7 linked regions of the Rattus norvegicus genome follow. The main gene of each other region encodes a partner of the protein of the gene in region 3 in a complex. Links are inferred from orthologs where the notes say so. Each region holds a gene or a part of one and is shown on either strand. Other genes may lie near its edges. The genes, in order: Thoc7, Ttf2, Ddx39b, Thoc1, Ppp1r8, Akap17a and Thoc3.

Region 1 (3,500 bases), on a different chromosome or scaffold from region 3:
TTTTTACACTCAGCAATTTTTTCATGTGCTCCAGCAATACTGCATTCTATTAAAAAACGGTAGTTATAATAAGACGTATAATGTCTGCTTTTAAGTAGACATTCCACTGACAACACAACAGACGATGACATTCTAAAAATATCTACAACACAAAGTGCTGTCTTACTACATGACACTGTGGCTGTAGATGGTAGATTCTTTACCACTGTAATTACTGACAGTATCTTACTACAATCTACATACTGCTATCAGCTTTTCCTTTAAACTGCAAAAATACAATTCTAGAAAGAAGCACTATGTTTACCTATTTCTTTGTATATTTTTTCATAGTTTTCCATTTCTCTGAGGTTCATATCATACACCAGCAGCGTTTTGCCCATTGAGAACTCACACTGAGACAGCGTGCTCAGCATCCGCTGGTACTGGCTGTATCTAACGAGAGAGAGAAAGAGAAGAAAAAGAAATCGTAAACTAAACAAAGTTCTGACCGAATTATTTAACTGAAATAGCTTAGAATATCCACCCTTACCATTTTCTTTGCTAGACATGGTGTACGTGAATTTATAAGTTATTCTGGTTACAAAGGCAGAATGAGACTACTGTCCTCATCTTATCAAAATTATGTGTCTGCATCTTAAATCATCCCTAACAATAGAGTTTCATCAGAATTTTGTTCTCACAACTTTCATACTTAAGCAGAAAGTAAATCCAGCAAAATTTCATAAATTAGCATGTGATTATTATTTTACAGCAACTTATATATTTACTTATTAGCAAAGAAAAAACATTTAGAGATACTTAGCAAATACTGATTTGCTAAAAGTAATCAAATTATTACAGCTGAGTTTGATCTTTACTTCTTCCTTTACTAATGTCCTTTCTGCGTATTATACAAACATAAAGGAGACCTCCAAAGAGAAGGACCGAAAAAAAACCAAAAAATAAAAAAGCAAACAAACTTCTGATCAGTTAAGAAGTGGCTACTGGGGGCTGGAGAGATGGCTCAGTGGTTAAGAGCACTGACTGCTCTTCCAGAGGTCCTGAGTTCAAATCCCAGCAACCACATGGTGGCTCACAACCATCTGTAATGGGATCTGATGCCCTCTTCTGGTGTGTCTGAAGACAGCTACAGTGTACTTACATATAATAAATGAATAAATCTAAAAAAAAAAAAAGGAAAAGAAGTGGCTACCCTGGACAGATAAGATGAATAGAACTATTTAACATGGCCTTAGTAAAATTCCAGCAAGATGTTGGTATAGAAACACAGTGGAATGAAGTACCCTTCCTCTTGGGATCCAGAGTTACACCATTTAATGAAGCTTTTCACTAGGAGATTAATTCTCCGATCATCTCCAGCACCGTCTCCATCTATCAGAAGACGCTTCCGGATGACTTCGTCTGGAACAAAAAGGATGAACGGGAATTAACACAAACATTTGGTTCTGGACAAATCTCAAGACAACAGTATATAACTACTCACTTGTTCAATGAAAATTGCTGAACTATAAATACATTTAATGCCACCAGCTGAGGTGTCACTTAGAAGCAAGAAGGCCAAAATGGTAAGCTTTATGTGCATCTTAGCACAATTAAAAATCTTCTGTTTGTTTTTCCTCTTTAAAGAAAAGCGGTTGGCTATGGTACATCTGCCCCGTCCTAGGGGCTGAGGTCTTTGGTGAAACTCTACCCTTATAATCGGCATTCTATGGGTCGTTGAGAGGAAATTTTCAAGTACAACAGAAAGGCTAAGTCAGTAATTGGTAAGAGAACTACTTTTGAAAAAAAAAAAAAAAGCTGTTCAAACTAAAGGAAGCCAGGACTGTAGTAAGTGAGAGGCACTGACAAAGTTTCCTTGCATGTAGTATCATGTCAGAAAAAGAGTAAACAGGTCAGAGAGATGAAAAGATCCATGAAGTAACAATTTAGTTGTAGGCGCTAAAGCAACACTATCTCACCCTTCCTGAGGGACAGTGCAGGCTGGAGTTCACTGTGCAGCCTCTGCCTCCACACAACAGGATGACAGGTATGAGCCATTACCCTGACTTCAGTGTCTCCATTTCTGCCCAATGCAAAGAGAAAATAGAAATGCAGTGGGAGATGATGGCGAGAACAAACAAATGGTGTCCAAGCAGCCTGTGTGGCAGTCCTGAGCTAGTGCTCTTACCAGGACCAAATCATGCTGGGCCATAGTCATAAAAACAAATGGAAACGGGGAAGAAATCATCCTTCTACCACATCATAACTCAGTAATATAACTGTTGCCATGATGTTCAGACACTCTACTGACACACAGTTACACATGTAGAGACGTGGATACAGTTAATCATGCTTGAAATGGATACACCTTTGCCTGGCCCCCAGAAAAAGTATTTTGAGTTTTGAGATACTGAGGAGCTTATTCTGAATCTCTGTAGCAGAGGCTGGAATTACAGGTGTGCGCCTCCATGCAAACAGACGTAGAGAGAGGCTTTTAGCAGTGCTGTCTACAGTAGATATTTATACTGCAAAGCTGAACATTGAGGCTTCTTAAATTGTGATGCACTCAAATAATGTTAGGATAACAACGAAACTACCTCTTCAGATAAAGTAACTTCTGAGAAGCAGAGGATGTTGTCCAGTGTGTAAAACAAAATGCATATATATAATATATATATATATTATATATATACACACACACACATATATATATACATATATATATATATTCAGAAAATAAATCTGGAGGCATTTATGGGTAATGAACAATATTAATGATTGTTTCTGATAAACAGATTACAGATAGAGATGAAAATGGTTTTCTTAGATACCATTTTATCATTTTTGTTTGTTTTCTGGGCTTTCATTTTCTTTTAACTGAATTCACTATGTTTTGAGTACAAATGTAAAGGAGGATAATTCCTGGAGAGCCTGCGTGAATCAAGAGCAACGTCTCTGACAACAGCTCCAGCAGGCGTAATGGCAGAAGCACAAGTGCAGCGGAGTCAGACCAGTATAGGGCGCCCTTAGACAGACACCTTTAGAATAGGTTTCTTTGAAAACCTGTTCAAACTACAGATTCATCTGTTCGTTTAACGTTTAAATGTGTTTAAAAAAATACTAATGTTTTCGAGCTTTAATTACCAAACAACTTGAAGAGACCAAGGTAAATAAGACAGTCCTTAAAGAGATTAAAAAGCAGAATTTTTGAACATGAGTACATACACACATCCACTTACACATTCTCTGTCACACACACATTTTGGGACAAGGTCTTGGTATGTAATTTTGTCTTCAGGGCATAGTGTGCCCCGAATCTTGCTGGCTTCAAATTCATTTGTCTGCTTTAGTCTGTCAAGGAAAGGCACACCTTGGGGCGGGAAATAGCTCAGTGGTTAAGAATGCATTCTGCTCTTCCTGAGGACCCAAGTTCGGCTCTCAGCACCCAAGTCTGAGAGTTTACAGCCCATGTGGGATGTCAAACATAAATGCAGTAGGAAACAGCAAGGGACTAAATACCA
Region 2 (4,206 bases), on a different chromosome or scaffold from region 3:
AGCTAGAGGGGAACAGAGCTGGTCATCCAGAAATTAACCATTGGTTTCTCCCGGTAACTCATACAGCATTTAGGGCACTGGTTTGTCAACCTTAACACCGTGACTCTCTAATGCAGTTCCTCATGTGATAACCTCAACCATAAAATTATTTTCACTGCTACTTCATAACTGTAATGTTGTTACTGTTATGAATCACAGTGTAAATATCTGATATGTGACCCCTGTGGAAGGGTCGAGACCCACAGGTCCAGAATCGCTAACAAGGTAGATGATATTCAGTATGTACAAAAAAGGTTTTCAGTAATGACTTTTAAAGAACAAAATTCTTTATTTTTATAAAATTTTAATAAAATTTTATAAAATTTTTTAATTTATATTTAAAAAAACAAATCTAGCTGCAACTCTTTCAGGATTGGGGGTTGGTGGGGAGAGTGTGTGTGTGTGTGTGTGTGTGTGTGTGTGTGTGTGTGTTGCATCTAGATGTTTCTTCTGGACACTCACCTCCATTCTTTCTTGCCCTGTGGTAGAAACAAACCCTGAAGCTCTACCACAAACTCCTCATGCAATAAACAATGAGAAACAGGAATACTAGAAGAGAAAGAAATAATAATAAAATAATTTTAGAAGACAAGGAATAGAGGCCAGCAGTCTGAAGTCAAATCCAAGCTTGAATTCTCACTGGCTGGCCTGGGACCCACCACCTAGACCAGTGTGGCCTCAAACCTGCAGCAATCCTTCCTCTAGGATCACAAGGGTGTGCCACCACACTCAGCCCAACTACAGCTCAAGGTGTCCTGGGTGTATAAATTCCATCTATGGCTATTGGTGTGGCTTCCTGAGGAAAGGATCCATAGTTTTTCTTTTACCACTTTCTGAACCGAAGCGTGACAATAACTATTCTTTTCTTCATGACGGTCATATGACAGCCACACTGCAACACTTCCAGGGATGACTTATAGTCTCAGGCTGGTCACAGGGTAGGCCTGCTGTGACTTCTCAGGATCTCTCATCCATTAATACCCTACTAGCTGTCATCTGCTGTTACTCCCATGTCTACCTCTAATAATAACTTACTCATGTGCTTCTTGCCTGGCATAAAATTTTAAATGTCCCTCCTAAAATATGTACAATACTGAGAGCAGACAGGTTGGAGTGAAGGTCTAAAGCACTCTCCTGTGACCTGTAGAATTGTCTGCAGCCTGCAGTCCGCTCATCAGACACACTGCAAGCCTCCAGTGAAAGTACTGTACTAGTCTGTATTGCAGTGTACCCACGGAAGTGGCACACTCTTTAAGAATGTTCACTCTCTTTTTAAAGATTTATTTATTTATTTATTTATTTATTTATTTATTTATTTCTATTTTATGTTTAGGGATCGTTTGTTGCATGTGTGTCTGTACCCCATGTACATGCTAGGCCTTCAGAGGCCAGAAGAGGGCGCGCGATCCCCTAGAACTAAAGTTACAACATTTCACAGCCCCTAAGTGGGTGCTGTAAATCAAAGCCAGGGCCTCTGGAAGAGCAGCCCGTGCTCTTGAAGGCTGACCTGTCTCTCCAGTCCTCAAGAATATTTCTTTTAATGTTGAATCAAACCTAAGACCGACATTGATGCGAACGTTGCGTAGGAACGTTCCTATGAATTAATTCCTACGAACATGCGCGCGCATGGGTCTTACAACATTCAACAATACTCAATATATTTAGGAACGGAACTGTAAATTCTGATGCAAAATACAACTTATTCCAGTACTAATATCTATTATATACCTATATACTGAAAAAAAAAATAACTGTGCTCTACAAAGTTCAGCTGAATAGAGAGCAGGAAGAAGTGTTAAATGAACCACAGTTTAATTTCACTCAGAGAATGGTCACACTTGAGAGCACTTTCCTCACTTTGGACAAGATGCTTGACATTTCTAGGTCTCAGCCTTCACATCTGCAGAACCTGAGTTCTGCACCAACCTCTGATGTTTCTTTCAGCACTAACTCCCTACAACAGTGGTTCTCAACCTTCCTAATACTGCAACCCTTTAAAACAGTTCCTTATGTTGTGGTGACCCCAACCATAAAATTATTTCCATTGCTACTTTACAACCGTAATTTTGCTACCGTTTTGAATCGTAATGTGAGTATCTGGTTTGCAGGATATCTAAAAGGCGGTCCCTGTGAATGGGTCCTTAGACCCTGGAGGTCCCGATCCACAGGTTGAGAAACGCTGCCCTAAGACCTTCAATCTCTGGAGTTTATTAGCGTCACACCACTAGATGAAGGAGAAAGGCTGGTGTCTAATTACTGTTTTTAACCTCAAATATTAAAATTAAAATGGCGATCTAAAATTGGTGCAAAACTAGCAAATTAATTCCCATGTCCACTGTTTGTTTACACTTTTTAGAAGGAGCAGAAAGGATGCAGGGGTAAAGGGGAGTGACTAAGTAAGGCCAGACAGGTGCCTAGAAACTTTAAGCGGACTCTAGAAGGATCCGAGTGTGGGTAAATCCGCGTCCCAAGGCAGCTGAAGTGACCAGGCTGGGTCACTCTGTGGAACCCGGCCGGGTTGGAGACTCACTCGGTGGCCTGCACGAAGCCGCATGTGTTCGTCCGGCATACGTAGAAGCTCTTTCCCTTGTTCGGGCCATCGCGGACGCCGGTCTTTAAGAAGCAGACGGCCCCTGAGGAAACAAGAAGGTCAGCAATGGCCCCTGCAAGCCAGTTCCACAGTCCCCAGGAGGGAAATCCTGAGACTGGAACCTTACCGTGCTCCGGACACTTAATCACCTCCATAACGCAGCCAGGAAGCTCTGGCCCGCCGGGTTTCCGTCTTTGACCCCGCCCCGTTCCGCCCATCATAACACTTCACCAATCAAATGGGAAATCCTCTCACCTTCAACCAATTACAGCCTCCCGCAGGCTTGGCGCGCACTGAAATCAAACTTGGAAGGAGGAGGCGTGGCCGAAGTCTTGGGAGGACACCCGGAGGTTCCCTGGTCGGGGAGAAAGCAAGACTTGGAGAGGGCTAGACGAAGCTGAACTGGGCGACTCCAGAGGAACCGCTGAGGCTCAGAGGGAGGCAGAGCGGCTGGTTTGCTCGGGAAGCAGCCACTGTGGGTGGAAACACTTAAATATGAGGCGGCCGAGAGGCAGGAGCATCCCCTAAAACTGTGGGAATCATTTGCATAGTCTGTAAGTCGGCACAAAGACTCCCTCAGGACCCCCGGACAACCTTTAAATGAGTGTAGGGCGTCCACAGAATCACCAAAGATTGAACATCTGCACACATCTCAGTTCCACGCTCCGCTCTCTTTGAGTCTCACGGCCTGCCTTCAAGTGAGGTTCTAAGGACCGCCTGGTGTGGACGCCCTGAGTCTGAGAGAAGAACCTGAGGGCAATACCGGACCTCAGGCACAAGCTAATTTTACTTCGTGTATTTTGCATTGTCAACCCTTTTGAACTTATTTTGTATTTGTAGTTAAAAAAAAAAAAAACTGAGAGTGATGTTAAAAGATACTGCATTTGAAGTGTAACCAAGGGGCTAGAGATAAGGCTCAGCATTTTAAGAGCGCTTGCTGGCTGTTACTGAGTTTGGTTCCTAGCAAATACTTTTGGCCTCTTAGAACGACCTGTAATCCAGCTCCACGCCTCCATGGACTCACCACATTAACTAGTACACACAAAGACACATACACATAATTTAAAATAAAATGGAACTGTAGAACCTGTAATCAGTTCTTTTAGTGAGCAGAGGGAAGGAATGACTATCGGAGCTTGGTTGCTGTAGCCATAACTTCATATTTCAGCAGCTGAAGACTGTGTGTGTCTCAGAGTGGCACACATACCTGCTAGGAGGACAGAAAAATTGCAATGTCTAACTAAGAAGCCTGGGCTATATGGAGACTGTAAATGTTTTAGGAGGCCAGAGGAGGGGAGATAGACCCGAGTTATCATTTATGAATTAAGCAGTTCTTACTAAATAGCTTTTTTTGGTGCCCCAAGAGGAATATGTGTTTGAGAAATATAAAGTTCACCTAATGCATACATTTAAAGAAACTGTTTTAACCACAAGGGGCTTACTGAATGGAGGAAGCTGAACTAGCCTATACCTAATGAATGCTTAAATAAATATAAAATAGTATTTAAATGTCAAGATGAATGGAGTCACCAGCAAACCCTAGAGAGCTAAAGAAAGACATGAATTTCCAAGTGCAT
Region 3 (4,026 bases):
GTACTTTGAGAAGCGCTCATATTCCTTGCTGATCTGGAAAGCCAGCTCCCTGGTGTGACACATCACCAGCACTGACACCTTTGAGGGAGCAAATGGAGACAGACACAGTAAAGTCAGTCCCGCATCTGGCAACTTGTCGGCGACAGCAGTTTCTTTAAACCATTATGCCACTCTGCTACAGAACATTCCCCCTGAACTGCCGGAGGAGACCAGCTCTGAGAGCACACAGCCAGAAACAGCCTCCTGGTGGTTCAACCTCAACACCCTCTCCAACACTGCCCCCAACATACCTGCCCAGTAACTGGCTCCAGCTGCTGCAGTGTGGCCAGGACAAACACTGCTGTTTTTCCCATGCCTGACTTGGCCTGGCACAGGACATCCATCCCCAGAATGGCCTGGGGGATGCATTCATGCTGGACTAGAGGGGAAAGGAGAGAGATTTTTATTTTACACCATGCCAAGTCCCCTCCTTCCCAGCCAATGTGTCACATTTTACCTGACCCCATCCTTTCTCTGATCTCCTCAAGACACCCAAATCAAACCCTCCTACCTGTGCCCCGGCTCCCCAGTGCTACTAAGACCCCTCTTGAACCTACCAATGGTTCACCTTCAATGTTCTTGGCTATCTTTATTTTTCTTATAGCGTAACCATCAATGAATCTGAGTGACTGCCACAGATTATTTCTCCTACATAGGTTGCTGGGCTTTGGGATCATGTTATCCTGCCACCTTGAACAAAATGAAGGACTTGGTACCTAACCCAGAAGCCATAGAAGCTAACATCTTTAAACAGATCGTTACGGTTTCCAGGGACCACTGTCAGCCTGGGCCAAAAGAGGGGAACTAAAGGTCCAACCAGGCCCTGAGAGTCCAAATAGCCAAAAAGGTGTAAACCAAAGAAAAACAAAAAACAAAAAACCAGGCAAAAACAAAAGCCTCTTCGGCAGCTAACGTTTTGAGTGCATTCTCAGAGCTTGGCCTAACTAAGTTCAGATCTTATGAACCAAGACACGAACCACATCTGTCTTGCATCCCTGAAATGCTAAATAATGTCTCTATACCCAACAATAAAATGTACCCTCTGATGGATGCTCAAAGCCACAGTCAACAATGGCCCGGAGCAACTCTGGCTTAAGTAGGAAATCTCGAAAGCCGGAGCTGTGGATGGAGACATAGGAGCCCTTGACGTCTTTCTTGGCGGGAGCTTCGGTCCCATCTGCCCCAGCGGCCGTCTCCACCTCATCGTCTTCATAGTCCAAGAGCTCATTGTCCACATCGTTCTCTGCCATAATCCGGCCGGCGGGGGGAGAAGGGAGGTCTCTGAGTTAGGTGTCCCAGAGCAGGTGAGAGGAAGCAAGGGGAAAGAGAGGGGTTGGAGAACAGCAAGGGAAAAGACACCAGTTTCCGACAGAAGAGCTGGGAGAAGGGACGACAAAAAAAAAAAAAAAAAAGAAAAAGGAAAAACTAATCAGTCATGATCTGACTCCTCACTTCTCATCCATCCCTACACCCTTCCTATTTTCTCTAAACTGAAGCCTTTGTCCCGAAAGAAAAGTTAACGGAGACAGACAGACACACACACACAGAGACACACACACGAGACATAAAAACGGAACACCAGACGGGAGAGACAGAGAGTGGCCTCGACCGCCAACCAGATTTTGGATCACACTTCGACAAGGCGGGAGCGAGGATGAGCGTGACTAACGACTCACACGAGGGTGGAGAGACAAAGGACAAGAGAAGACGAGGGGCTGCACTTCCCCCTGTCACCTCGCGGTGTTGAGCCCCAACGTCAGCCATCAGTCAAGGGTGATAGATAAGGGTCAGCACCGCGCGCAGAGCGCTCACTTCCCAATTGCAAACATCATGTGGCTGCCGCTATTCACTTGCTCAGGAACACCCGAGGGCCCATCCCGGCGGCGCACACCCGTGATTCCCAGTGCCGGGAAGCAGAAGCAGGAAGGAAGGGGGTGGGGAGAGCCTATGGTAATTAAACGGTGGCTGCAAGGGTACGAATGGCTCCATTAAAAAAAGAAAATTCTTTTTTGAAAAGGCTGGGTGTCTGGTTCAATGAAGGTGCTCGCTTAGCAACGCGAGAGGCCGCAAGGATCGGCCCAGCGCCGCCACAATTAATTTTAATAGTCACATTAAGGAATTAAGGTCGCAGCTGAGGACGATGCAGCCTTTAGAGTGGTCTTAAAAGCGAACGCCTCGCAGTGCCCTCGGAAGTTTCCCGGAAAGCTTCCTGGAAACCTTCCCGACTACTGCGCCGACACCATTGGTCAAGCACGGAGATAGCCATTTACAGAGAGCTCCAAATAAGGGAGCGTAAGCAGGGGGTCAGAGGGTTGAATGGGCCCGGAGGCAAGATCCTTCCCATCCCTGGCGGACTAAGAAAAGGCCCGGAGGGGAGATGCGAGGGGCCCCGCCCTCCTCCTGGCGCCGCCTCCGGCCGCCGCGGCCTCGGGTGGGCAAAGGACCCACTGGAACATCCAGGAAACGAGGAACACAATGGCGGCCGAGGCCACCATTTTGGATCGTCCCCCGCCTGTCTCCCAGCTCCCCCACCAAGATTTGCTCTCAGAAAGGGATGAAAACAATGGAACTGAGCGTTCGCCTACGCGCCGGCGGCCACACCGCCGGCCGGGCACCGGGTATCAGGGGCCCGCGCGGCGGAATGAGCCGCGGGGCGGGCAGATGGCGGCGGATAGTACACAAGGCCGAGCTTACCTAAGCACTGCGAGCGTGTATGGCGGCAGCAACAGGGACGGAGGCGGGAAGCTGCCTTCACTTCCGGTTCCAGTCTCGCCCCGGCCTCCCGCCTTCCCGGCCGCCAGGGCGCATGCGCGGGGTGCCGGAAGGAGGCCTCGGGCGGCGCGCGCTCCACGGCTGGCTTTGCAGAATGCCCACTTGAAGTTAAGCTTCTGACGCCCCCTTCCGTCGCCGGCAGCAAGAGCGCGACAGGAAGCTCACATCTCTCCCCATCTGATTTCCCCATTTTGTTCTTCTACGCTTCTGCACACCCTCCGACGGTCGGCTTTACTTTTGTTCTGTTTTGTTTGCCACGCCAGGCTTCTCCCTGGGCGCCTCTCTGTGGGCATGCAGGACTCCGCGAGCAGAGTGAGAAGCGTTCTCACGGGGTCCTTAGCCTCGTAGTCAAGGTGACCTGAGAGCGGCTAAGTCTGGCCTCTACTGGGGGGGGGGGGGTCCGGTACGTGACCACGCCCATTACAGTTGTGCAGAGAATAGGCCGGATTTACCCAAAATTATATTGGGAGATGGAGGCTTACATTCTGTCCAGGTGCTAAATAAATGGTGGAGTTTGAGGGTTATGCACCTTTCCATAATTATTACTAACTAGAGCAGCAGAATGGTCTCAGTTCCATTATTCAGCCCGGAATTTGTCCCCCCTAAGTAGGTGGTATTCCCTTTGAGGTGCTACACACGTCAGAAGTGATGACCTGTTGCCTTTCTGCAGAAACATAAGCAGGTGCTTTCCCTATTGAGCATACTTGAAAGTAATACTAAGTAACACTAAGTAAGTATCATTGTTGCCAACCAGCCCGCTGTGTCCTGCTCAACGGATAAGCTCCCTGGGCTGGGGCTTGGTAGCTTTTGATTCCTCAGCCATTTGACAGCTGTAAGCAGCAGGCTGGCAGGTTTTGTATAAATCAGAAAGTGGGGATTCCTCCGTCCCTGGTAACTTAGTAAGAGCTGTAGCTCCAGACAGAGAGGCACCTTTGGCTTTGAAGAGTTTCCAGGAACTCTTCTAGTGACCTAGTTGGAAAGCTCTCAGCCGCTTTCTTCCAGTTACTGGACCTAATGTGGCAGCACCAAGGACGGAGGCATAGTAAGGTTTGTCCCAAGTGAGCCAGGCTTTACAGCCAGCAAAGGGCGTTTGCACCAATCTGGGCAAACAGGGAACTCATGCAAATGAAGACTTACGTTTGCACCAATCATAATATATCCCTTTGGCACCAGTCATAACACATCCTCCTGCTAGGGGACTATGGGAAGGACTGT
Region 4 (3,500 bases), on a different chromosome or scaffold from region 3:
GCATGCAAGCAAATCTAATTAAACTTAGCTGGGTCAGATGCAGAGAGAAGACATGAAAGAAAGAAGAGAACTTGCAGGGAAGGAAGGTTTGGGAGTGGTGGTAATGGAAAGGAACAGGGTAAAAATGCCTAAAATTCATGTGTTAAAACTGTTAAAGAACTTTAAAAAACTTAGCAATAAAATCGATTGTTTAACCAGCTATGGAAACCTCAAAGCAGTTTTATGTGCAAAGACTAACAAATCAATAAGATGGTAATTCAACTGAGAAGAAACTCCCTTATCTCACTATTTTAACCTCAATTTGGAAGGTGCCATTCCTCTAAGATGCATATAAATTAACACAGAACACTTATGTTGCTTTAAAAACTATCTATGTTTTTTATTTGAATCACAATCTTCCATGTCTACAAGACATATATGGGGATTCTTCTAAGACAGGGTTGGCTAATGTTTTCTAAAGGTGAATACAGCAAGTATTTTGGGCTTTGTGGCATGAATGTTCTCAGTTCCAAATACTCAACTTGCCACAACATTGTAGGAAAACCACAGATAAATGAACCTTCATGGCTGTAGTCCAACAAACCTCTTTATAAAGTAGACTGACTTGGTGTGGGGCTATAGTTTTATGAACTCTGTTTTAATAGGACAACTAGAGTAAAACAACAATTGAGCAGGGCAACTTCTTTCAAGCTCGCTCCCTTCTGTGGGCTTTGCTCCCTGTCTCTCAATAAATTTTGGTGTGTGTTCTTCAAAAACACTTCAAATAGAGAAGACATCCTGAAAAATAAAATCATCACTTTATATTGACAGCAATTATTATAAAAAAATAAACCCTTGGAGGTTTTAATTACTAACGTTTAAACCTAAAGGCACTTAAAAACTATACCACAAAAATCAGTGGTTAAGAATCAATTCACCAGGGGCTGGGGATTTAGCTCAGTGGTAGAGCGCTTACCTAGGAAGCGCAAGGCCCTGGGTTCGGTTCCCCAGCTCCGAAAAAAAGAACCAAAAAAAAAAAAAAAAAAAGAATCAATTCACGGGCTGGAGAGATGGCTCAGTGGTTAAGAGCACTGAATGCTCTTCCAGAGGTCCTGAGTTCAAATCTCAGCAACCACATGGTGGCTCACAACAATCTATAATGAGATCAGATGCCCTCTTTTGTATCTGAAAACAGCTAAAGAGTGCTTATATATAAATAAATCCTTAAGAAAGAAAAAAGAAAAAAAGAATCAATTCACAATTTAGTTTCTGTATATTATAATAGGTATCAAACTATCAGAGGGAGTTTTATAGTGAAAAATATTTGAACAAGATAAAGTCTACCTCTGCCAGTATCTGTGAAGTATCAGCTTCAGAGGTCTGTGACTCACCTTGAGAAAAGTTTTCCAAGAAATCTTCTCATAGCATTGTACTGGGTTCCTGAAGTAATCCTGAAGTGACCAGAATTTTCTGTACAGGTTGTAATCAATTGGAATAGAACTATAAAATAAATAATGTATTAAATCACTTAAATTATTTGACAGTCATATAAGTCTTTTTCCCTGGGCCACAAAACTTTTTCAGAAGCTCATAAAAAGTTTCTATCCCCTAAAAAGTATATATTAAAAAAAATGATATAAACTTTTAGAAACAGTCTGAAGGGATTAGAAAACCTCAATTGACCCTCTAATATACTGGTAGAGCCCCTGAATTTTGACATGGCTCTTTAGAATGAAAGATTAATGACTTTTGATCTTTCTTGCTGCTAGGAGTGGCTATGTGAAATTAGTTGGAAGAAGTCATATGTGCAATATGTGGGCCATGTTTTAACATCTGTGTTCTTGCACTTTAGGGAAAAGGACAAACATGCTGAAAAACAAGGGAGAAATGAGTTCCTAGGCCACCCCATGAGTAAGTACTATCTTTCTCCAGTAACTTCATTATTGCATTACTAATTCAATTTCCAATTTGGCTACGATACTATATATCAGGGGACCAGGGGATTCTTCCTAAGAAAAATGAAAAGTTATTGCTAGCAGAGAGAATCATGCAACCATTCATATGTTCATCTTTGTCTCAGGAACTAGAAGATCTACATATAATTTAATGTTTGACACCAATAAGAATCTTTTGTTTATTTAAGGGCTGGAGAGATGGTTCAGCAGTTAACAGCCCTGAGTGTCTTGCAGAGGACTGGAGCTCAGCTAGACAGCTACATTAGGCACATATGGCAGCTCAAAACTGCATGAAACTTCAGTTGTAAGTAGACACCTCTCTAGCCTCCTAAGGCACCTGCACTTGTGCACATATCTACACACAGATGCACATACATATAAAAAACAAACCCTTTTTTTAAAAAGGATCTTTTGGGGCTGGGGATTTAGCTCAGTGGTAGAGCGCTTACCTAGGAAGCGCAAGGCCCTGGGTTCGGTCCCCAGCTCCGAAAAAAAGAACCAAAAAAAAAAAAAAAAAAAAGGATCTTTTGTTTTTAGCTATCTTTATTTGTGTGTGCATGTGTATGTGGGTTTCTGATATATGCTGTCTATGTGTGTGAGTGCAGGTACATGTGTGGACATTGGAAGACAACACATTGGGTGTAGGTCTTTGCTTTCTACCTTCTTCAAGGCAGAGACTCTGTTGTTTGCTGCAGTGTACAATAGGTTAGCTGATCTGTAAGCTTTCAGATATTCTTTTGTAGGAGCTCTGGGAGTACAGATGCATGCTATAGTGCCTGGTTCTACATGGGTTCTGAGGATTCAAACTTAGTTCCCCACAATTTCATCCCCTAAGTGTATTCCCTTACCCTCTGAAGAAGAATTTTATTGCAAGTTGCCAATCGTCATTTCCAACCTTCTTTAACTGGCTTGGTGGTGGGGTATCAGTTTCACATATTTTCTGTGGTACTGGGGGGGGAATTGAACTCAGCAAATACTTTGCCATTGAGATATACCCCCATTCTATAGTAAATTTTCTTTGGTTCTTTTTTTCGGAGCTGGGGACTGAACCCAGGGCCTTGCGCTTCCTAGGCAAGCGCTCTGCCACTGAGCCAAATCCCCAACTATAGTAAATTTTCAAGCAGTATCAATATACTGAGAAACTTTTATAGTTGAGGCATTAAAATACCTCCCACTTGATGGTTATAGTTCCCTTTGCTTGATATATGTTTTTATGGCTAAATGAGTTGGTCTTCTGATGTTGAGGGTTGAATCTAGGGTTTGTGTTTGCCAGGTAAGAACTTCACTGAGCTACCTCCAACTCTTTAATACCAATTTACTGTCGACTTGTACTATTCTTTAGAAACTTACAGATTTCCTATTTACCCACACAAGGTATATAACGCACATGCACGCATACTTGCACACTCTTGTGTGCACAATGTTATGGAACAGGATGTCCACAATGTGACAGGCAAGTACTCAAGTACTGAGCTTCATCCTTTGCTGCATTTGCTTTTTGTTATGTTCTGTTGTTTTTTGAGACAGGGTTTCTCTTTGCAACCCTGGGGCCTTGAACTCACAGAG
Region 5 (4,288 bases), on a different chromosome or scaffold from region 3:
CTGTCAAAAATATCTTCATTTGTGAGGGCAGAGGAGTAACCGTGGGAGAGTGTTGCCTGCTGGAGAATGAATCCAAAACAGTTTCCGAATGCCAGCCAGCCACTCTGTCACAGAGCTACACCATCAGTCCCTGGGAGCTTTTAGCAGGGGGACCCAAAAGAGGCATGGCAGCCCACGTCTTTCCTTACAGGACTGGGAGGCAGAGGCATTCAATCTTTGTTGAGTTCAAGGCCAGGCTGCCCTATATAGGGAGCTCCAGGATACCCAAGGCTAACTCTGCCTTAAAAAACAGAAACAGAGCAGAAAAGTAACAGCGATGAAAACAAAGCAAAGGGAGCAAAGGGAGACAGGGTGGGGAAGCCAGTCACAGCAGGCTGCAGTACCTCAATTAGCTTGTCTCCTTTCACTACATCCAGATGTAAGCCTGGTGGCGGTTTACCTGCCCTGAAAGAGAAGAGTGAAAACAGCGGTTTCAAGGAGGAGTCCAAGACTGTTTTTAATAATCAACACCGAGGCTCCCCTACCAGCCTAGAGTTAGTTCATATTTAAACAAAAATGTCATATTTCACTGTGTTAGAGTGAAATGTGTTTGACATTTTCTTCCTAAGTGATTCAGTTGTTCCAGAGATTTTTCTGTGGGTCTGTATTTAGAGCAGACCCCCCCCCAAAAAACTCCTGCATTTTAACACTAGCTATGCTCTTCAGAGACAATGCAACTCAATGTCCTGTCCCCTGAGGAGGTTTTTCCTTCTTGCTTGTTTTTGGAGACAGAGTCTCATGTCTCGGAAAACAAGCTAGGCTCTAACCTTAGTGGGTTTGGATCTGAGGATGACCTTGAACATCTAAACCTCTAACCTCCACCTTCCCTGTGCTAGACTACATTGTGGTGTATGCCACCAAGCTTGGTCTAACCTGGGGTTTTTTAAATAAATTTATTTTTTTTTTGTTCTTTTTTTCGGAGCTGGGGACCGAACCCAGGGCCTTGCGCTTCCTAGGCAAGCGCTCTACCACTGAGCTAAATCCCCAACCCCTTAACCTGGGGTTTTAATCTAAGATTTACTACTCCTAATATTAAAAAACAAAAACAAAAACAAAAAACCCAGTTATTTTGCTGGGTACAGAAGTACACATGAGAATTCCCATCAGAGAGATCATTTCAAGGCCATCCTACTTTGTATAGCAAGTTCTAGACCAGCTACAATTACATATGGAGATCTTGCCTCAAAATAAATAAATGTTAAAACAATCAAACAACAAAAACTATTTGTTTGGGGACTGATCAATATTATTCTCATCAGAAAATAAACAAAAACCATTACCCAAATGAACTCTTGGTACCAATCAGAGATAATGTAATTAGGGAACTTGAGTGAATCAAAGTCACGCCCACGAAATCAAGTTCCAAATGAATAAGAGGTGTATCCTGAACAGGTCTTTCTGAAAAATTCTAAGTCATCAAACTTTTCTCTATACTTCATCATCCAAGGGGTTGTGAGAGTGTCAAATTACCTGACACAATTCCTAGTATGCACCAGATTCTGAAGTAATGACAGGTGATCTCAAAGAGTCTCTTTATATTTGGCTGGCCCAAATTTGAAATAAGTGCAGCCAGGGACCAGTGTGGATAAAGAATGTGTAGGCTGAAGCACATGGTTATGTTAAAAGTATAAAGAAATCCAGTGAATAGCCAAACATTCACTTGCTTCCTGGGCTTGTTCTTTTGAACCTTCTGGGGCCCTTACATTTGCACAGAAGAAACGGTATCCTGTCTAACTGTATCTATCTAATTGGAGATTCAACGCAGTCATCTCACAGTTCTGCTCGGATCTTTTTTATAGCTAAAAGGACAGTGCATTGGACAAAAGCCCCCCCCCCTTTGAGAAACAGGTTAAAAATGAACATTAAAACCAAAATATATTTTCTAAATATCCTATTATGTGATTGACTCAGGCCTAGGAGCTGAGAATGATGCAAGGGTTTTTGCCCTTGAAGATCTCAATGTAACAGAAGCCTGAGAAGTAACATGTTAACAACCGGGAAAAGCCGCAACAGCAGAAAGCGCTTTCACTCGGATGCATCTTCCTGCAAAGCAATTCCTATGTATTCATCTTGCACCTTACTCAACGCCTAAACCATCCTACTACTATGAACGTCCCAGGGAATGAAAACGATATAAGCTAACAACTTCTGGTGTCTTTTGTACCGGGCTTCGTACTGGTCTGGTCAGAGAACAGGGGGAATAGTTCGGCGCCATCCATGCCCTCAAGGAGCTCCTAGTCCTCTTGGAGGATGCAGCAGCCACAGACGGATGCAGCATCAGGTTGGGCTGGGGTAGGGAAGCTAGCTCATGCGGGCTCTGGACGTTCAACACCCGGGGAAGCTAGGAAGCTCCCTGAGAGCATCAAGCACTCAATGATGAGTTAGGGCAAGTTAGGGGCCAAGGCCTGAAAGCACCCCGGTGAGCGGCTGACCTCCCAAGCGCTGTCTAAACTGAATGCCTTCGAGCCCCCAAACCTCGGGTTTCCTCAGAGCCTGGGCCCCAGCTCCAGGTTCCTCCACACAGCGTCGCCCGGCCCCTCACAGCGGACAGTTTTCCCTCAATCATTTCAGGATCTTTTTGAGCCGCTCGTTTCATCGCAAAAAAAAAGGAAAAAGAAAAAAATACAACCTCCTTTTCTGCCCTGGTTAACTCACACCAAGATGCTCTAGCCCCAGAAATCGTATTACTCACCAAGTCGGGCAGTCGAACAGCGGGAGGCTGGAGCCGGAGTTCACGGCTGCCGCCATCTTGCGTCTCCCCCTCCCATTTGGCGGGCCTGAAGCACGCCGGGAAACTGGGAGGTCGGGAGGGAAGAGGCGGCCTCCCAGCAGCCTGTGCGCAGCGCGTGCGTGCGCACGCGTAACGCCAGGACGCTCGCCTGGGAGCGCCTATGGTGGAGGGGATTAGGGGTTGATTTTGAAGTCTGCAGTGTTTGCTGGGGAGGGTTGGGAGGGGAGGTTCTCCTTGATCACGGGGTCAGAAGTGGTTTGTACCGAGGTATGGGCTTCTCGCTCCGTTCTCCTCCAGAAACTCTTGGGCTCTGTAATCTGCATTAACTCCCAGCACTCCAACCATTCACACTTCATCTAGCGATAAGCAAGTGATCACTAGAGATAAGACGTGACCGCTCATTCATTTTTCTAGCCCTCCTTCGGAAAGCACCCCCGAAAGCAGAATCCTTACTCATTTGTCCTTTCTAATCCAAGTCTAGATTGTTTAGCTTAATGTTAGTGTGTTGAGCATGCGCGAGCGAGGCCACTGATTCAATTCCCCAGAATCAGTAATTTTCTGAGGTTTGGGGGCTTCCATAGATTAGAAGTCTGTCAGAAATCAGGTAGTCTGTTTTTGAAAACTTTGACAAACTGCACCAAGGCACAAACTCAAACAGAAAAGGGCGTCCAATTTTATTTTATTTTTTTACAGACTTCACCAATTCTCAAATGTTTAATAAATGGCCCCTTAGGACTTCCTAGGTGGGTAACAGTGACTGTACTATACAAAGAGGCATTAGGGTTGTCATCTTCCTCTAAGCCATTAGCTTGCGGGTTGTAATCGCTTTGTCTATTGAGTGCTTACTGGGAAGTATATATTCTATATGGATCATTTCACTCGGTAATCCCACAACTCAAGACAAATTGATACCAGAAGAGAGGCTCAGAGTGAGAGTTATCCAGCCTCACCTTACAAGGAGTGGGATTCAAACCTGAGTCTGTATAAAGCTAAAGGCCAGGCTCCACTAGTCTCATGCATTTCTGACAACATACCATTACTTAGTATGCACTTGATGGTCCTTTTTGCACTTTTACAGAAAATCTGGGATGATGACTTCACAGTTTTGTTTTGTTTTTTAAGGAGGGTGTGGCAGCACAGGTCTGAAATCCCGTCTGCCTCTGCTTCCTGAGCGCTAGGATTAAAGGTATGCAACACCACACCCTGCTAGACAGCAAAATAAATAATAAACAAACTCCAGGTTTCAGGAAGCAATGGCATTGGTTTGAATGTGCTTGGCCCAGGGAGTCACACTATTTGGAGGTTTGGACTTTTTGGAATAAGTGTATCACTGTGGGTGTGGGCTTAAGACCCTCATCCCAGCTGCCTGGAAGTCAGTCTTCCACTAAAGCAGCCTTCAGGTGAAGATGGAGAACTGTGCTTGCACCATACCTGCGTGGATGCTGCCATACTCCTGCCTTGATGATACCGGACCTGTAAGCCAGCCCCAATTAAATGTTTTCTTTTAGGAGTTGCCTT
Region 6 (3,998 bases), on a different chromosome or scaffold from region 3:
CACTTGAGGCCCTGCCCACCCATGCCCATACCACCTCTGACTGAGGCAACACTGTAATTCTGCTCTCCTCTGACTCTGCCCACCCATAAGGCCTGCTTACTTCAGCGCGGGCAAGCAGGGCAGCAATGAGCCGCACAGACTGCAGGTTGCGCTGGGCGAGCAGTAGCCGACGGGGCTCTGCACCTTCCTCTTCCTCACGCCCCAACACAGGCTGGGGCTCTGCCTCCTCCTCCTCCTCCTCCTCCTCTCGACGTCGGCCTCGTCTCTTCCGTGCTCGTTGCCGTGCCTCTCTGCGCCGAAGCTTCTCCTCCCGACGCCGTGCCCGTTGTTGCTGCTCTGCCTCCCGCTGCTTCCTGGGTGGTTGGGGGTGGGTGGGTGATGTCACTGGGCGTGACATCGTGTGATGCAATCGGGTTTGGCGTCACTAGATATGACGTCATTCAAGCAACGTCATCAAATGATTTCATCCCAGGCTGAAGGTGATGTGATAGGGGGCGACATCATAGGGATTGACATCATCGAATGACTTTGCCCCAGACAGGAAATGAGTGTGGGATAAATGAGTGTGGGTTTGCAACTACTGAATGAGTGACAGGTGGGAGGGACCAGGAGTGTAACAAAGAGAAAGTGAGGGGTGGTGATGTCACTCTGTCATTCATATGGGTGACATTCTTATTAACACATTTAACATGAGATCATACCATGATATATGATATTGCATCCTAGTGACATCACCCCAATGATGTCATATGGTATGATGTCATGCAACACAAAGTCATTTGGGATGATGTCACCTGGTGATGTCATCCGAGTGATATCGGCCAGCAATACCATTCAGCATGACCTCATACAAGACCTGATGATGTCACACAGCATGATGTCATCAGAGTAAGCTCATCAGGGCGGTGTCATTATCAACAATGTCATGTGAGTGATATAATCCAAATGATTTCCCAGTGACATCATCCCATTGATCCACCCACCAGTCACCCTGCCTCAGACTGGCTCACCGCTGGCCTGCCCGCCGCCGCGCCTCATCCTCACGCTCCTTCCGCTTCTGCTCTTCACGCCGCTGCTCAAGTTCCTGTAGTTTCTGCCGCTCCAGCTGCCGGCGTCTGATCGAAGCCTCGCTCAGGTGCTGTGTGGCATCTGATGTCACCTGCAGGTGAAGGAGCACAGGGGAGTGAAGAGGACGTGTGGTCACATCACAATGCCGCCCTGTGATGTCATGTGGGTGACCTTTGATCTCCACACTACCCCGCCCCCTTTGACCCCTGTGACATCATTGAAACCATCATGATGTCATGGACCCCACCCCTCATCTCAGGCACTGCACTTTTCCCGAGGAACCACCCACCTGTCCACATGCAAGCGCCAAGGAGTTCCATGTGTCATTTACATCTGGTGCCCCGCCCCTACTCTGTCAGTCATAGCTTAGTCTCCGCCCACAAGATGTCAATCCACTCCAGGTCCCGCCAAACCCCTCACCTTGATGCCGCAGGCCACAGCTTTGCCGTCCGTGCCCCTAAACATGAGCTTAGCACCACGCAGGGCAGCCATGGCACGGGCGTAGGCATCACGCTCTCGGTACTGAACGTAGGCCTCGAAGCGGAGCCGCCCGCCCCCGCCCCCGCCATGGCTGCCGTCCTCACCAAGGTAAGGGTCCAGCATGGGAATGTCCACATGGCGGATCTCACCAAACGCCCCGAAAGCCTGGCGCAGGAGAGCCTCGCTGGGCCTCTCTGCTGAGGCAATGCCACCAGGGGAAGAAATGCCTCCAGCCTCATCCCCGCCACTGCCCCCACGGGGCGCAAACCAGCGGCAGGGCAGGCCCTGAAGGTGGATGGTGTCATGAGGGTGGGCGGGGTCATCCGTGGGTGGGGGCGTGGCCTCAGCGGCGCTTACACGCAGGCCATGGGGGAGGCCGCTGAGCATCATAGTCTTGCCGTCCAGGCCAGCGAGTGCGGGACGCACAAGCGCCCGGTTCTCGACCTCGCCCTCAAAGCGCACGACCTCAGGGCCGCCCCGGGCCAGGCGCAGTGATGACAGCGGCGCTCGTGCCCCCTGTGCCATCGCCCGCAGTCCCTCCATCACCTCCCAGTTTGACACTGCACGACTTGGCGCACGCGGGGGTGGGGACGTCGAGGAAGGCGAAGGGGGCGGAGCTGGGGGCGGAGGGGGCAGCGACACCGAGATTGTCACCCGCGCGATTGGCTTCAGGTACAGGCCCAGCGCCGGGCACAGGGGCACCGCCTCCGAGGGGTCGTGCACGATGGTGGCTGAGGACATGGCCAGCAAGTCTGGGGGAGCGGGGATGGTGCAGTGATATCAGTATGTAGTGATGCTCATGGTGACGTCACAACATCTGAAACACGCACACAAGGTCATGACATCAGAGAACCTTAGGATGAGAACACAGCTAAGGCTATGCTCACCTGACTCCATTATGGCCAAGGAACCAAACCCCGCCCCTCCTCTCAAATAAAGCCAAGCCTCTGCCCCAGGCTCCGCCCCAGTCCTACATTTCTCCTGCTAGGGCCCCATCCTATTTCCTAGCCGGAAAACTCCGCGGAAGCAGCAGAAACAGGTCAGACCCAGTCCACGCGAGCCCGGAGTGTTCTCCGCTCACCTCCTCTAAGCTCCACCCCTGTGCTCCGCAGCGGCCTCGTCACTCTGCCCCGTTACCCTTCGTAGCCATTCCCGGGGCTCCCGTGACGCACCTTAGCTTCCGGTGCCCAGACTCTAGTCCTCGCCACCGTCTAAGGCCTTTTGGTAAAGTCCCCGCAGGCGTTTCGTTCACGGCCGCTGACAACTGATTTTCGTAGTTTAAATGGCCACTTCCGGTCCCGGTCACCTCTGATCCGGGATACCGGAAACAGGGATCACCAGCAGAATCAGCGGCACTCAGCGCGCACGCGCAGGTTTTTGCTCTCGCTCCCAGACACAGGAGGTTGCGGCTCCTTGGTCAACAGGGCGATAATCCTGTGACCAAGGCGCTCACCGGTGACGTCAAATACGATCGACTCCCTCCCGTTTCCTCCGTGGAGACAACGTCTGTCAGCCGCTTTCAACCGCCCTCCTGTGGCGGGAAAGCGGAGGAGCACAAAGGGAACTTCCGGCACCGCTCACCTCTGACCCCCGCCTCAAGAAACAGCAACAGCAGCAGGGCGCGCATGCGTAGACGCTCTTCCGCCCTCCCAGTTCCCTTTTGCGCTTAGGCTCCGTGACAGTGGCCTGCGGGGTCAGCACTGGTGACCCCTTCGTCGCCTTCGCTCGGATGTCACAACAAAGCAACTAGGCTCAGCAAAGAGCAGACTCTGTCCGCTATGCGTGAGGTCATAAACTATGCGACTCGTCGTCAGCCAGCGCGGCCCGCGTAGCGCGGCGGGCAATCCCGTGATTCCTAGCGTATCCATGTGTGTGACGTCCGCCCTGGCGCGACCCCCGTGGCAGTGACAGTGCATCCGGGTCGTCCTTTCCCGGTTTTGACGGAGGCGACAGGGGGCGGGACTTCCGGAATTGATTCCCAGGGCTCTGCGTGGTTCTAGGGCAAGTTCCGGCTCAGATTTTCTTTAAACGGACTTGAAAAGGGGCGGGACTTCCGCCTGTCATACTGATTTTTACTAGTATCTAATACCGCATACGCCCTCTTGCCTGCGCTTTTCCTAAATTTCGCAAGCCAAGAGGGAGGGGCGGGGCCTGGGCGAATTCCGGAAATTGCGCAAAAACGCCACCATTCACGTAACACGAAGGGTGGTGCCTGGGCTGCGGAGTCCTCCAGTGATATCGGTCAGGTCTGGTAACCCCGCGCGACTCTGGCCCCCATGGCACTGAAGCCGCTCGCCCCGCTCCTGCGCGGTTACCACGTGGTCCTGGCGAGCGCTTCGCCAAGGCGGAGGGAGATCCTCGACCTGGCGGTGCGCTTTCCGTTTGCCGGGTCACTGACAGGGAGGGAACCGGAAGTCGGTGGGCGGAACCGGGAGCCCCCAAAAATGAGA
Region 7 (3,346 bases), on a different chromosome or scaffold from region 3:
TCAAACTTTCTGTCTATGCATTTTTTTTTATTGGAGTAAATAACATTAGGTATAATTCCTGAATATTTTTGGTAGTTAAGTCTGAAAGAAGGTAAGAGTGAATTTTGATTTTATTTCTGATACTGTATAGAATAGAACTCCATTTTAACAGTTTAACATTTTAACGCTGGTATCGGCCTCACACAGTCAGCACTGTATGTCATTTAGGGATTAGCTTTGCAGTCAGTTATCAGGGTTCTTATCCTAGTTAGTGTTGCTAGTGCTGTGAGAAATACCACGACCGAAGCGACCTGGGGAAGAGAGGCTCACACTTACTACACTTCATTGTCAGAGGAAGTCAGGACAGGAACTCAAACAGGGCGGGAGCCTGGAGTCAGGGGCTGAAGCAGAGGCCATGGAGGGGTGCTGCTTACTGGCTTGCTCTCTATGGCTTGCTCAGCCTGCTTTCTTACACCCAGGACTACCAGCCCAGGGATGGCACCACACACAGTGGGTTGTGCCCTCCCCATCAATCACCAATTATGAAAATGCCCTACAGGCTTGCCCACAGTGCACTCTTATGGAGGCATTTTCTTAGGTGAGGCTCCCTCCATGCCAGTGACTAGCCTGTTACACTGACACAGACTGCTGGCCACAGCACTCAGTTTGTAAAGCTGTGTGCTTACCTGGGAAACATCTCAGGGGTTTTTGTGGTTGCTTTGGTTTTCTTCAGTTGTGTAAATTTTTATCTTAACCAAATCCATAGCAAAAGATACAAATTAAACACCTAAAGAAAAGTGAGAGTCCTGTGGTAGTGACACCAGAAAGCACGGGTGTGTCCGTAGCCTAGCAGTAATTCAGACAAGCTGGAGATGGCTGTCCCCGACAGGATTACTGTAAACACTTCACATATATAACAGAAATGTGTACTTATGTGTGTACACGAGTATGTTCTAGTAGTGCAGGGTATAATTTGTAGACCGTATAGTTGACCTCTTAGATGTACACCAACCGTTCTCACACCCAGCATCTTTATAGTGGTGCCACACTGTAGGTCTTCTGTAAAAATTGTAAAGAGCGGTTTGCGGCTCTTTTGCCTGCATGTGTGTCTGTGCCGTACAGTGCCTCTTGCTCATAGAGGCTAGAAGAGGGAGCTGGGTCCCTAGGTGCTGGGTCCCATTGGGTTGGAGCTAAACAGATGGCTGTGAGCTGCCATGTATGTGCTGGGATTTGCATCTGGGTCCTTTAGAAGAACAGCCAGGGCTCTTAGCTGCTGATCCAACTCTCCGCTCCCACATTGTAAGCCTTAACTCAAAGGGAGAAAACGTGGAGCAGACCTGAAAGAAACCATGTCTAATTTCAACAACTTAGAAGGAAACGTCTGGGGAAAAGTTATTTGCAAGGCTTTGTGGTGTATGAGGTGTGTGGCTTTGGAGACAAACTGCCTTCATTTTCCTTAGGTGTCACTTTGTTAAGGCACCACAGCCTCTCACAGTCCTGCCACTGGCATGCAGTAAGAACAGGCCATCTGTAGGGTGCTCAGCAGACCATAGCTGGTAATTGTTTTTCCTGGGAGTATAGGTTAGAGGCCTAGACTCAAGTTAACTTTCCTGTCACCTGCTCATGTGTGACATCTCTATATGCCAAGTACTAATAACATTCTCTCTGTTGCTTTCTGTAGGAGACAAGCTGTGGGAGGTGCAGTGTGAGTCCCCGACTTTCACCGTGGCTTGGCACCCCAAGAGGCCTCTGCTGGCTTTTGCCTGCGACGACAAAGATGGCAAGTACGACAGCAGCCGGGAGGCTGGGACCGTGAAGCTCTTCGGGCTTCCCAATGACTCCTGAGAGGACATAGCTGGAAGGAAGAGGACGACGGGCGGACTATTCAGGCTTCCTAATGACTGGACCTGACGGGGAGAGGGGGCTGGGCGCAAGCCTTCCTTTTGTATAGTTCCGTGTGGTCTTTTGGGCTTTGGGCACCCTAAATGTTTGTAAATGGCATACATTACAAAAACCCTTTGGTCAGGCTGTGGTACCGGAGGATTGAACCAGCCTTGCACGTGGTGAGCAAGTGGCCCACTCAGCCAGCCCCGCCCCACTGCCTGAGGTTTTTTGTTTTTTGTTTTTTGTTTTTTTTTGGTGTATTTTGTGTTAAGCAGTTAGCTAATAAGGACTCTGCAAGTATGGGTCATAATCTGTTGTTGAGGGTTCTCTAAAGGAAGAGAACTGGTAGAATGTCTGTCTGTCTCTCTCTTGTCTCTGTGTGTCCATACATGGGATTTTATCAGAATGGCTGACAGGCTGTGGTCTGGGTTGTCATTCCAACGACGCTGCCGTCTCCTGACGGAAAGGCCAAGGATCAGTAGCCGCTGAGACTCATCTGATGCGGAGTCCTGGGGAATCCTAGAGAGCTGCAATCGTCCGTCAGTGTTGGAATCCTGAAGAAGCAGGCTCTGTGGTTACCAGGGAGGGACTCCCTGAGCAGCAGGGTGGATGGACCAGGCAGTGAGAGTGAGGGCAAACAGGCAGAAAGCGGAAGCCTTTTGTGTGACTTTTTATACACTGCCACCAGCATGTGTCCCAGGTTTCCGGTGGCTCTTCCTACCTCAGATGATCAAGATTTCTCTCAGGTGTGCCCTGCTGGTTGGGTTTCAGTGGTTTCCAGACGCTGCAGTCAAGTTGACAGCCAAGATTGCCCACCACATGCCCAGCGTGGCATGCCCTTTGGGAGTGCCCTGTGTTCTGGGTTTTAATATGGCAGTTTGTTGCTTAGGCAGTACCTACTTAGAGGGAGGGCAGCATAGGGATGGGATTTTTAAAAACAGCTTTGAGAACTGAGCATTCATTAAAGCCGGCTTTCGTTATGAGGTGTCTAAAGTTACTGTTTTTGTTCCTGGAAGATACTGCAGGTTTAAATTCTGTTTTGGTTTTAAATCTGAGTTTATGATCCCATCTAACCCTCTAACTAAGACCATGAACTGCAGTGCTGGGCTGCTGTGGTATTGCAAAGTCATCTGTGTACATAAGCGGGTGTACATCTGGCCTCCTCCTACCTGGTTTTATATAGAGCAAACCAAGGGAAAACAGAAACACAGTAAAACAGAAATAAATACAAAATCAGACAGATAAATGAATAGGAAGTCAAGGCTGAGGAAGTGGAGGAGGAGTGTGTGAGGAGTGAGGCCATCATGGATGATCTGACTAACACAGCAAACTGAAGATGGAGGGAGGTCAGTCTGTCTGACACAAGCGCTCAGTGTGTTCCACAGCCTGGGACTTGGTAATGTAGCCCAAGCTGGCCTGCACTCGCTGTCCTCCTGCCTTCGCTCGCTCGGCTTCCATTACAGGCCACCGTTGTGGTTGGCAT

What was found.
Region 1: Ddx39b (region 3) and Thoc7 share a complex: the UniProt entries of both Homo sapiens proteins name them as parts of the transcription/export (TREX) complex. The link is inferred for Rattus norvegicus from reciprocal best matches to the Homo sapiens genes DDX39B and THOC7.
Region 2: Ddx39b (region 3) and Ttf2 share a complex: the UniProt entries of both Homo sapiens proteins name them as parts of the spliceosome. The link is inferred for Rattus norvegicus from reciprocal best matches to the Homo sapiens genes DDX39B and TTF2.
Region 4: Ddx39b (region 3) and Thoc1 share a complex: the UniProt entries of both Homo sapiens proteins name them as parts of the transcription/export (TREX) complex. The link is inferred for Rattus norvegicus from reciprocal best matches to the Homo sapiens genes DDX39B and THOC1.
Region 5: Ddx39b (region 3) and Ppp1r8 share a complex: the UniProt entries of both Homo sapiens proteins name them as parts of the spliceosome. The link is inferred for Rattus norvegicus from reciprocal best matches to the Homo sapiens genes DDX39B and PPP1R8.
Region 6: Ddx39b (region 3) and Akap17a share a complex: the UniProt entries of both Homo sapiens proteins name them as parts of the spliceosome. The link is inferred for Rattus norvegicus from reciprocal best matches to the Homo sapiens genes DDX39B and AKAP17A.
Region 7: Ddx39b (region 3) and Thoc3 share a complex: the UniProt entries of both Homo sapiens proteins name them as parts of the transcription/export (TREX) complex. The link is inferred for Rattus norvegicus from reciprocal best matches to the Homo sapiens genes DDX39B and THOC3.

What each region holds. Positions count from the first base shown.
Region 1 is NC_086033.1:13,699,960-13,703,459, reverse strand, and holds part of Thoc7 (THO complex subunit 7 homolog), read right to left. Parts: exon of another isoform or gene 3,223-3,500; coding exon of another isoform or gene 3,219-3,222; intron 2,063-3,218; coding exon of another isoform or gene 1,959-2,062; intron 1,402-1,958; coding exon 1,284-1,401; intron 433-1,283; coding exon 305-432; intron 47-304; coding exon 1-46. UniProt on the Homo sapiens protein: Component of the THO subcomplex of the TREX complex which is thought to couple mRNA transcription, processing and nuclear export, and which specifically associates with spliced mRNA and not with unspliced pre-mRNA.
Region 2 is NC_086020.1:191,083,507-191,087,712, forward strand, and holds the start of Ttf2 (transcription termination factor 2), read right to left. Parts: upstream 2,801-4,206; 5' UTR 2,785-2,800; coding exon 2,757-2,784; intron 2,673-2,756; coding exon 2,570-2,672; intron 589-2,569; coding exon 502-588; intron 1-501. UniProt on the Homo sapiens protein: DsDNA-dependent ATPase which acts as a transcription termination factor by coupling ATP hydrolysis with removal of RNA polymerase II from the DNA template. May contribute to mitotic transcription repression. May also be involved in pre-mRNA splicing.
Region 3 is NC_086038.1:3,586,852-3,590,877, forward strand, and holds the start of Ddx39b (spliceosome RNA helicase Ddx39b), read right to left. Parts: upstream 2,801-4,026; 5' UTR 2,734-2,800; exon of another isoform or gene 1,774-2,733; intron 1,417-1,773; 5' UTR 1,290-1,416; coding exon 1,079-1,289; intron 419-1,078; coding exon 291-418; intron 79-290; coding exon 1-78. UniProt on the Homo sapiens protein: Involved in nuclear export of spliced and unspliced mRNA. Component of the TREX complex which is thought to couple mRNA transcription, processing and nuclear export, and specifically associates with spliced mRNA and not with unspliced pre-mRNA.
Region 4 is NC_086036.1:1,273,660-1,277,159, reverse strand, and holds part of Thoc1 (THO complex subunit 1), read right to left. Parts: intron 1,480-3,500; coding exon 1,371-1,479; intron 1-1,370. UniProt on the Homo sapiens protein: Component of the THO subcomplex of the TREX complex which is thought to couple mRNA transcription, processing and nuclear export, and which specifically associates with spliced mRNA and not with unspliced pre-mRNA.
Region 5 is NC_086023.1:150,329,927-150,334,214, forward strand, and holds the start of Ppp1r8 (nuclear inhibitor of protein phosphatase 1), read right to left. Parts: upstream 2,801-4,288; 5' UTR 2,788-2,800; coding exon 2,732-2,787; intron 445-2,731; coding exon 384-444; intron 1-383. UniProt on the Homo sapiens protein: Inhibitor subunit of the major nuclear protein phosphatase-1 (PP-1). It has RNA-binding activity but does not cleave RNA and may target PP-1 to RNA-associated substrates. May also be involved in pre-mRNA splicing.
Region 6 is NC_086030.1:21,425,448-21,429,445, forward strand, and holds the start of Akap17a (A-kinase anchor protein 17A), read right to left. Parts: upstream 2,801-3,998; 5' UTR 2,721-2,800; exon of another isoform or gene 2,630-2,720; intron 2,366-2,629; 5' UTR 2,290-2,365; coding exon 1,489-2,289; intron 1,160-1,488; coding exon 1,011-1,159; intron 354-1,010; coding exon 101-353; intron 1-100. Other genes in the region: Asmtl (N-acetylserotonin O-methyltransferase-like protein), read left to right, coding at 3,825-3,917. UniProt on the Homo sapiens protein: Splice factor regulating alternative splice site selection for certain mRNA precursors. Mediates regulation of pre-mRNA splicing in a PKA-dependent manner.
Region 7 is NC_086035.1:10,154,627-10,157,972, forward strand, and holds the end of Thoc3 (THO complex subunit 3), read left to right. Parts: intron 1-1,660; coding exon 1,661-1,824; 3' UTR 1,825-2,846; downstream 2,847-3,346. UniProt on the Homo sapiens protein: Component of the THO subcomplex of the TREX complex which is thought to couple mRNA transcription, processing and nuclear export, and which specifically associates with spliced mRNA and not with unspliced pre-mRNA.